Linked DNA regions of Caenorhabditis elegans. The protein of the gene in region 2 interacts with the protein of the main gene of each other region in a pairwise test. Each region holds a gene or a part of one and is shown on either strand. Other genes may lie near its edges. The genes, in order: efa-6 and arf-6.

Evidence for each region.
Region 1: the proteins of arf-6 (region 2) and efa-6 interact in a two-hybrid assay, tested with the Caenorhabditis elegans proteins (one study listed by BioGRID).

What each region holds. Positions count from the first base shown.
Region 1 is NC_003282.8:12,611,652-12,616,949, forward strand, and holds the start of efa-6 (Exchange factor for Arf-6), read right to left. Parts: upstream 3,074-5,298; 5' UTR 3,069-3,073; coding exon 2,919-3,068; intron 2,547-2,918; coding exon 2,399-2,546; intron 1,979-2,398; coding exon 1,739-1,978; intron 302-1,738; coding exon 149-301; intron 1-148. UniProt on the Caenorhabditis elegans protein: Guanine nucleotide exchange factor for arf-6. Involved in response to injury in mechanosensory neurons. Inhibits axon regrowth via microtubule dynamics, possibly by inducing axonal microtubule catastrophes.
Region 2 is NC_003282.8:16,944,983-16,950,308, reverse strand, and holds arf-6 (ADP-ribosylation factor 6), read right to left. Parts: upstream 3,190-5,326; 5' UTR 3,182-3,189; coding exon 3,100-3,181; intron 3,033-3,099; coding exon 2,929-3,032; intron 2,839-2,928; coding exon 2,741-2,838; intron 2,658-2,740; coding exon 2,557-2,657; intron 2,337-2,556; coding exon 2,276-2,336; intron 930-2,275; coding exon 848-929; 3' UTR 575-847; downstream 1-574. Other genes in the region: rad-54.B (DNA repair and recombination protein RAD54-like), read right to left, coding at 200-242; Y116A8C.9 (Transmembrane protein 185B), read left to right, coding at 3,509-3,555, 3,607-3,684, 3,737-3,835, 3,897-3,993, 5,279-5,326.

The DNA.
Region 1 (5,298 bases), 4.3 Mb from region 2:
ATATTTTTGGAAAGTGATTCTATTGGTTTTCAATAAATATTTCCGTAGAAAAGTAATAACATTTTTCGGTAGCTTTTAGTGTAAAATTTGAAAAAAAAAGCACACACAATTTCATTTTTTCTAAAAAAAATCCAGCAAAAAAGGTTACCTCCATTCGATCGAAGATGTGGTGAAAGTGTGGATATTTGTGGTGACGAATTGTACGAATGATGATGATTATCAGTTGGCATTGTGAACATTGCACTACGAAGACTTTTTGCAACGATCTCCTCGTTCGGAGATTTCATGTCGTTTGATACTACTGAACAAAAAAGTTTTCAATGTGAAAAGTGCGAAATTTATGCCATTTTAAATAATATTTAAATTAAATACGTTGATGTGTTCTTGGAAAATGTATTTTATAATTTTTTGAAAAAAATCGGCAGGAAAACTGATTTTTTTCAAAATAAGAGAGCAATATTTTCTAACAGAAATCTAGATTTTTCTTAAATATTCAAATTTCAAAAACTAAATTTATTTTGTTAGCGTTTTTCAGCTTATTTTTCAGCAACTTTTCGTTGGTTAAAATTTAAAATTAAATGTTTATAAAATCTTTAAATTTCTATTTTAAGTTTTCTAGCACTTTATAGCTCGATTTTTTCCATAAAGATCTCAAATTTCAAGCAAAAACCCCAAGTTTCAACCTAAAACCCTCTTAAATGAGTGCTAAACAACCTCTAAACGGATAAAAATGTTAGTGTGCAGTCAAGTGAGAGAACATTCAACACAACAGAAAAACACAGTACTACCGGGTGGCCTGAGGAGGAGGGTGCTAACGCAAATAAAAATGTGTGAATGGAAATTGATAGAAAAAAATGTGGTGGCGGTGGAAAAAGGATAGATAGAGAGACAGAAAACATTCCCTATTATAACTGTGCCGATCGCCTCCGGGAAAGCATTCTAGAAATGAAATTTGTTTCGGGTTTTTCTTCGAATTTTGTGCAATTCGAAGCTATTCTAAAGAGTAGAGGGACTTAAAAGAATTTTCCGATTTTTTGGCTTTCATACTTAAGTAGACTGAAAATGGCTAGAAACGGCCGAACATCATAAGGAGATTTTTCAAAATTTCAGTTTTTTGGGGGCGGAAATTTCCAAAAAAGGGCTAAATATTGCTTAAGTTTAGAATTTCGCAAAACTTTTCAGTGTCAGAGGCAGGGAATCAGTTTTTTTTTCATTTTTTGTATATTTTGGTGATCTAGTTTGTTGATTTAGGTTAGCAATTATTTTTTTAAAAAACACTTTTATTGAAAAAAAAACCATAAATTGGAAAATATATTGTTTGAATTATAAAACCTCAAGTTTTAATCCAAAAATATGGAAAAATCAGTTGTTTCGATTTTAAAACACTTTAATTTGAAAAAAATTTCAATTGTCCGTGTTTTAAGGACTAAAAACTTGGTAAGAAAATTGCAAAACAAATTGCAAACATTCTGATTTATCAGGACAAAAACATGCAATTAGTCATCAAGATCGTGAGCGTTTCTTTTTTTTGAAAAAAATTAGCCATATGTTTTTATCGGTATGTTTTAATTTCTAGAAATTTTATAAAAACAATTTTTCTGTTTAGAAAAAAGGGTTAAAAATCAATGGAAAATCGTAAAAATTGTGAGATTTCTTCTTCTTCTTTTCGAAAACTTTTTGCATCCAATTAAATCCAGATGTTTCATTTTTTTTTCGTTTAAAAATTTCAAAAGCTCACCAATAAATTGTTCTTCATCAACAACCATCACTTCATCATCATTTTCATTTGGTTTCTTCTGATTCTCTTTTTCATCAGTAGTCATCATTACAGTTTCTTCTTCACTTTCCTCTACATCAGTGCTCTCCATTCGTTCAATTGGAGCTGTTTTAAGCATTCGAATAGCTGTTGGTGAAGACTCTTCTGACGTTTTTCGTGCCAAACTACCACGTCTTTCGATTTGGCTTGTTGAAACTGGAACTTTTAGAACATTGGAATTAAAAGATAGAAAATTATGGAAAACAGTTTTTTCTAATTTTTTAGAGCTAATATTCAAGTGATTTCTATAAATTGAGCCGAATATTCCAAATTTTCAGCTTTTTTTTTATAGTTTTCAGAGTTTTCAGAGAATTTTTTCAGAAATTAAATATAAAGTTTTCAGGTAAGCTGTTCTGCTGACACTTGCACCTTTTTTAAGCTTTCAGAAAAATTTTTCACAATTTTTTTTGTATTTTTCGTCGGAACTGGAACTTCGGGCACATTATATATAACTTTTAAGCCAATTTGAGTATAAAATGCTTTTTTTTTTAATTTTGCAAAATTTCAAGCGATTTTTACGGAAATCTCAGCTTTTTTTGGAGAATTTCTCACATTTTTTTCGCAAAAGCCGTAAAGTGTTACCTGGAAGTCTTGACAGTTTCTGGGCCGCCGCTCCGTTTCGATTCATCGATGGAAACGAAACTCCCGCAGAGGCGGTGGCTCTTGACAGCTGATGTGGGTGAATGCTCGATGCAACTGTGGTACCTGGAGGCAGTTGGTCGCCGAGAAGCTGAAAAAAGAAGGGAAAAGGTTAAGAAGAAACACTTTTTTTCACTCAGGAGGGAGGGATGAAAAGATGAGGGCATTTTAAATTTATTGGAAAACCACAACTTTTATGCCTAAAAAATTTTTAAAAAAAATTTTGAAAAGAAATTTCAGTTTGAGGCCTCAAATCGCAGAGCATTATTTCAGAAAAAAAATATATTGAAAAATAGTTTTTTTTTTAATTCTTCAAAAAGGTCTTTGGAACATTTTAATGACCGAGAGCTGGAAAAATGAGAAAAGTTCAACTGTATACATTTTCCAAAAACCAAAATTTTTGCTATTTTTTGGAAGAAAAACATTTGAAATTTTTAATTTTTTCTAAAAATCAAATCCAAACCTTTGCATAAGTGCTCGAAACGTTCCGATTAAGAGAAATGAGCACATCACCGGACATTACAAAAGCCTCGGACTTTTTGACATTCCGGCGAGGGGCTCCATCAATGGTGGCCAGTGCCTCTTCGGCTCCCGACGACGCCACCTTCGCCATCACTCTGAAAACGAGATGATTGTAGAATAAAAAACGTTTGAAAAAGTATAGAAAAGGTGTCAAGAGGTATAATATTTCGATGACGAATTCAACAATGACCATCAGAGTGTTTATATAAACACGTGATGGAGGTGAGTTTATTTTCAAAATATTCACAAGCGGAAGCAACAAAAAAACACTTCAGCACCGTAAATTTATTCGAAAAGTTCCCTTTTGATTTTAGCATTAAAAAATAAAAATTTGGAGGAGAATTTGATTTTTTTATAAGAAATTCACAACTTTTCGGGCTAAAATGCTTAATTTTGGGCCACTTTCGCTAATTTTTTGTGTATTTTTTTTTCAAATTTCCTTATTTTTTAATGTAAATATTTTATAAACTAAAATGGTGTTTATTTAAGTTTTTTAGCATTGAGCATGAATAAGAGAGAAATTGATACAAGATGCTTTGCGAAAAAACACCAAAAATCGAGAATTTTAGATCAAAACTATAAAAAAATAAATGCACACTTCTTCTCACGGAGTACACGAGCTGCGTAAATCGACAGTCTCAAAGATTACGAAGTTTGAAAGTTTGTGCTGACAGTAAAAGATTTTTAGAAATTGCGATAAAATCGCTTTCTGGAAAAGCAAATTTTTCCGAATTATCTAGATTCTTACACTCAATTCGAAAAAGTACAAATCTTTTCAACAAAATCATAAAACTCTGCACAGCTGTTACCACCGGGACGACGTCACACCTCATTCGTCTCCTCCTCCTCCTCTTCCATCACCTCCCTGTTTGCCCATCAGATTGTAGTGTTGTATAATAAAATTCGAGATAGACAGAGAGAGACAGAGAGAGAGAGAGAGAGAGAGAGAGACCTGGTGTGGAACTAAACGTCCATTCCTCCCCGCTGTGCAGAAGACAACAACTGGTCGACTCCCGAAGGTGCGTTTTGAGCAATCTCGCGAAAAGCTGACAGTTGCGCGGAAGGATGGAACACATATTTCCGCCGCGCACACTGATCAGTCAGTTAACAAATATTGTCTCCAGAACGACGCACCCCAGAGAAAGTGATTAGGCGGTAAGGAGGGTTTTCACACCTCACCCCCGTATCATAAAGTTTCTACGGAAGATTAGCGTGATTTGGAGCTGAATTGTATGAAACTAGAAGCTCCAAGAAGGTTCTTGACGTTCCAAAACGTGGGAAGGTCGGAAAAGCGATACTTTGTGGAATTTGGAACGAAAAACTTATTTATGCGAGTTTGTTGCATTAAAGCTATCGAAATTTGCACAGGAATCAGCAATTATAGCGATCAACGATTTTTTCAAAGTTTTCGACAATTTCGATTTCAGAAAAATCGAGCTATACTGAAAACTTTCCAAGATAGATGACGCTAAACCAATTTCGATATAAAGCCAAGCTAAAGCAATTTTTAGCTCTCGTATGTGGTGCGAGGCTTTCCGATTAAGGTTTGATCTACAAATAATGCTGCAATTTTGCCCAAAAAATGTGACTCTTCTCCCGCATTTTTTAAAGATCTACGTAGATCAAACCGAAATGAGCCATCACGTGCTCTCGTCGGCAAAAACGAAAGTACAACGGAACGAGTATTACAACTCGAAGGCGAAGAAGAATCTCCATTGGATAATTGGTCCCTCGCAGAAAGATGAATGGACTTAGAAAACTACGGAGTACGAAACAATTTGGTCTACACCTATTGTTTCAGAATGTTTTCTGTAAAACTAGCGATTTTGTGTAAAATCGAAAGGCGAGGAGACACACAACGAAACAACTGGCAATATAAAACTCGATAAAATTGGCGAGATCCTCTTCTCTTGACCCTAATAGGCTAATCCACTTGATGCCAACACCAACCACGAATGCAAAGTTTTCGATAGAAAATGTCGAACTAACAGGTGTGCACACAAAACGGCGAACGTTTATGACATTTCAGCTTCATCTCCGCCTCTCCATCATACAAACAGATGAACCACGTTTTCAGAGAATATTCATTTTATAGGTTTTCCTCCGAGTTTTATGAAACTTGCCGATGGAATTTGAATGAAGAAGAAACATTGCCTCGAAGTGTGCGAAATGATTCAAACTTTTTAGACTGTTTACTTTTGAAATGGAGAGTTTTTTGGTCATTTTTCTGAAAATAACGACCAAAACTTTGGAATTTGCCGGCTCCATATGAATTCCCAGACACTTGAGAGCTGCAGCTATTTTTCGGAGATCAATTCCGA
Region 2 (5,326 bases):
ATTTATTGGCTTTTTGTAGAAATTGTACATAGATTCGATTCCCGGCGATATGCGTTCCCTAAAAAATTGTCCGGCTAAGCTCCGCCCCTTTAATGGTGGATTTCAGATTCCAACCATTTTTGGTCGTTTTTTTTTCGAATTTTTCAGCCAAAAATGCCAATTTTTCAGAAATTTTCAGCCTATAGGCGTAGGCGCCTACCATTTCCCTCATAACTATCCACGTTGAGAACCACTCGGGACATCTGAAATATTAAATTTAAATTTTTGGCCTAAAAATCTGAAAATCTGGCAGCAAAAAATATTTCGTCCTAAAGAAAATCAACTATAAAATTGGCCAAAAAATCGATTTTTTAAATATATTTTTCTCCATAAAAAACGATAAAATCACAGATAATGGCAGCGAATATATTTGGAGAAAATTGGAGGTCGCCGCGGCCGAGAAAAACCTCGGTCATGGAGCAAAAATTGGGGAGAAAAGCAGTGATTTTAGTGTTTTTTTTCGGGGGGGGGGGGGGAACTCGGGAAAAACAGTGGGGAAATAAGTGAAAATTGGGCACCTAGGGGGGGGGGGGGGGGGGAAATTTTGGAAATTTATTTTTTTGGGGAGCATTTTGAGCATTTTTTTCGAGTATTTTCTGTGAATTAAAGAGAGGGAAAATAGGAATAAGCATGGCACACACAATGTTAAAATTTAAGGGATTGAAAATTTTTTGAAAAAAAAATTTTTTTTTTTTTGAATTAAAAAAAAATTTAAAACAGAAAAAATTGCAGATAAAAAGTGAAAAAAATACTGTTAATATTTGGCAAGACGCGAATTTTTTATTCCAAATTCTTCAGATAATGTGTTTTACGGCTTGCAATTCTGGCTTAGCCACGTCAGGCCTTCGTGTAGGCCGTCTCCGGTTGAAGCACATGATGGTTGGACGTACCTGCAAAGAAATTAATTGGAAATTATGGGTGAAAATCCGTGGATTTTTAGGTGAAAAATGAAGGTTTTTGATTGAAAATCTGAAAAAAATCAATTTTTTCGGTGAAAAATTGGCCTAAAACCGACAATTTTCGAGTTTGGAGCGTTTTTTTTTAAGGAAAAATGGGTTTTTTTAGTGGAAAAATTGCTGAAAATCCGGAATTTTAGGTGAAAATCGGTTTAAAATCGACATTTTTCGAATTTTGAGCGTTTTCAGGTGGAAAATATGGGTTTTTTAGTGCAAAAACTGATGAAAATGCCGTAAAATCCGGAATTTTAGGTGCACAATCGGTGTAAAAACGGAAATTTTCGAATTTCAAGCACTTTTTGATGAGAAAATTGGATTTTCCGTGAAAAACGGATGAAAATAGCTGAAAATCTGCAAAAATTCGATTTTTTTTGGGAAAATTGGCCAAAAACCGACAATTTTCGAGTTTGGAACATTTTTTTTAAAGGAAAAATGGGTTTTTAGTGAAAAATTGTTGAAAAACTGCTTTTTTTTTGTAGAAAATCGGTTAAAAAAAGGAACTTTTTTTGAATTTTGAGCGTTTTCAGGTGGAAAATATGAGTTTTTGAGTAAAAATTGGCTTAAAATAGCTGAAAATCTGGAATTTTTGGTCGAAAATCGGAGAATTTTCGAATTTCAAGCACTTTGTAATGGAAAAATGGTTTTTTTTTTGTGAAAAAACGGGAAAAGCCGGCAAAACGAGTTTTGGGCGTTTTTTAAGGGAAAAATTGAATTTTTAATGAAAAAAAAATGTTGAAAATATGAATTTTTGTTAGAAAATCGGTTAAAAACGGAAAATTTTCGATTTTCAAGCACTTTGATGAAAAAATTGAATTTTTACTGAAAAAATGCTGAAAAACTGCATTTTTTGATGGAAAATGGCTCTAAAACGATAAATTTTCTAATTTTGAGCGTTGTCAGGTGGAAAATTGGATTTTTAGTGCGAAAACTGATGAAAATGCCTTAAAATCTGAATTATTTGGTGAAAAAACCGAAAAAAAGGCGAATTTTTAGAGTTTTCCGTTAAAAAAAAAGAAGAAAAATTTCGTTTCTGGAGGTTTTTTAGAAGAAACTGAGGGAATTTTAAGCGAAAATCGCTATTTTATGCTTTTTCTCCGAGAAAATTTAAAAAAATTGTATTTTTTGCATAAAAACGAGATTTTTAGTGAGAAATAATCGGAAAAATTTGATTTTTACACCAAAATCTGCATTTTCTACCCATTTTCCGAGAGAAAATGGGTGTTTTTTGATGTATTTTTGCAGAAAAATCAGTTTTTCCTCGAGTTTTTGATGTTTCTTACCAATTCCTGTCTCGAATCCTCGTCAATCCCAATTTATCCTGAATTTCGTGTGGTTTCATCGCTGAAAATTGCATTTTTAGTGAGTAAATCCATTTTTTCAGTAAAATCGGGCATTTTTAAGCAAAAAAAGCTGAAAATTCGAGTTTTTAGGTTAAAAATCGATTTTTTCCGAGTTTTTCGGGGTAAAATCGCTCATTTTTGAGCTGAAAATCGATTTTTTCCGAGTTTTAGGTGTAGCATCGCTCATTTCGCTCAAATTTTCCGCCAAAAAAGCCACAAACCATCGGCAAGATCCTGTTTATTGGCAAAAACCAAAATAATCGCCTCCTTCATTTCCCGATCATTAATTATTCGGTGAAGCTCCATTCGCGCCTCGTCGACTCTGAAAATTCCGAATTTTTCCGTTGAAAAAATCGATTTTGTCCAGGAAAAAAACCAATTTTTCCGCATTTTTCGCCTAAAAACCTGTCTCTATCAGCGGCGTCCATCACAAAAATGAGCGCCTGAGTTCCTGTGTAATAATGTCGCCAGAGGGGTCGAATTTTGTCCTGTCCGCCGACGTCCTGAAGAAAAATTGGGGTTTTTGGGGGTTTTTAGGCCAAAATCTGGGGTTTTTAGGCCAAAATCCAGGGTTTTTGGGGCGGAAAACTCACCCAAACGTTGAATTTGATATTTTTATACGTGACAGTCTCCACATTGAAGCCCACCGTCGGAATTGTGGTCACTGATTGCCCGAGCTTCAGTTTGTACAGAATTGCTGGAAAAAAAATCGATTTTTTCCATATTTCTAGCCGTAAAAATCGAAATTTCCGCCAAAAACTCACTGGTTTTACCCGCCGCATCGAGTCCGAGCATTAATATCCGGAGCTCCTTTTTGCCAAAGATTTTCGACAGGAATTTACCCATTTTTCGATCTAAAAATGTGATTTTTAGGCAAAAAATACCGAAATTAGTGCGATTTTTGAGTAAAAAACTTGAAAAATCAACAAAAATGAGTCATTTTTCGCGAAAATTCGCTTTAAAACGGCGGAAAAAGGAAGAAAAAATCAATTTCCGCGTGGCTCCGCCCAGTTTTGCAAGCGGCGCGCGTGCTATTTGCAAGTGGTGCGCACGGGATTTATTGTTTTCGTGTTTTATTTTTCGTGGAATAAATCGAATTTATTATTGATTTATTCAATTTTTTCAGATTTTCAGTGAAAAAATCATGAAAAATTGCTAAAAATTGAACAAAAAATGGTGGAATTAAGTCTGGGAGTCTTTTTCCGATCGTTTAACGCATCGTAAGTCTATTTTTCGAGCTAATTCACCTAGAAACCCTGAATTTTTTCCAGAAAAGTAATTCTCTGCGCTTGTCTGCTAATTTTCACGGCATTATTCACGTTAAAACTCGATGGAAAAGTCTCATTTAGGTTGGAAATCCTCAAAATATCAGAAATTTCCCGAAAAAATCGATTTTTCCAGCTACGCATTCGTTTTTGCGCCGCTATGGGCCTGTAATCTCCTAGTTTTCGTCGGAGCCATCGTCGGAATTTGCTCTTTTTGCTCAAAACCACCGTCGAGGTGGGAAAAGCTGGAAAAAGCTGGAAAAATGTGGAAAAAATAAAGAAATTTGACATTTCAGAAACGAAATTGTGATGCGTGTCGACTTTTCGGCTATGCTAATCACTGCTACCGAGCACATTTTTCTTTGTACATTTGTTTCGCTGGTTTTTATTAAGGTAAACGATGGAAAAGCGGATTTAAATAGATAAAAATGAAGAAAAATGGCCAAAAATCGAGTTTCTACGTGGAAAAGCGAGTTTTTCAGCGAAAAAACCGAATTTTTTGGACAAAAATCAAGAAAAAGCCGAAAAAATTGCGTTTTTTTCTTGATTTTTTGTCAAAATTGCTTGTTTTGACCTTAATAATCGATAAAATGGGTCAAAAATGTGTAAAAATAACCCTTTTCAAGCCAAAAAACTACATTTTCTGACCATTTTGCTTGAAAAAAAAGTGAAAAATCTTCATTTTTTAGAGCAAAGCTCAATAAAGTAGCTGAAAAATCGATTTTTCTACAGTTTTTGACTCGAAAATTCATAAATTCATTCCTTTTTCACTGAAAAAATGAAAAAAATGAAGAAAAATCAATTTTTCAACTTTAAAATCACAAATTTGCCCAATTTTTTATTGAAAAAATCGATAAAAAAAGGTTTTCTATTTTAAAATATTCAAAAAATCCAGATTTTGAGGTGTTTTTACCCAAAAAACAAAAAAAAATCTATTTTTTTCGATATTTTAACCTTAAAAAATGGAAAAAATCAAAATTTTTGGACTTTTTTACTTTAAAAAAATCGTAAAAATCCAGATTTTTATGTATTTTAGCCCAAAAAAAATCTAGTTTTTTAGTCTTTTTTACCCCAAAAAATCCCAAAAATCCAAATTTTCAGGTAATTTTACCCTAATAACAGCAAAAAATCCAGTTTGTTGTCTTTTTTACTCTAAAAACAGCTAAAAATCTAGATTTTTGGTGTATTTTAGCCCAAAAATCTGGTTTTTTAGTCTGTTTTACCCCAAAAAATGCCAAAAATCCAAATTCTCAGGTCATTTTACCCTAGTAACTGCAAAAAATCCAGTTTGTTGTCTTTTTTACTCTAAAAACAGCTAAAAATCCAGATTTTTATGTATTTTAACCCAAAAAACTAGAAAAATCTAGATTTTTGGTGTATTTTAGCCCAAAAATCTAGTTTTTTAGTCTTTTTTACCCCAAAAAATGCCAAAAATTCAAATTTTCAGGTCATTTTACCCTAATAACTGCAAAAAATCCAGTTTGTTGTCTTTTTTACTCTAAAAACAGCTAAAAATCCAGATTTTTATGTATTTTAACCCAAAAAACTAGAAAAATCTAGATTTTTGGTGTATTTTAGCCCAAAAATCTAGTTTTTTAGTCTTTTTTACCCCAAAAAATGCCAAAAATCCAAATTTTCCGTTCATTTTTCCCTCCAAAACCCGTATTTTGTTTTCCAGCTAGAATTCGATTATCTCTTCGAACCAGGATATCCACTTCCATGGACA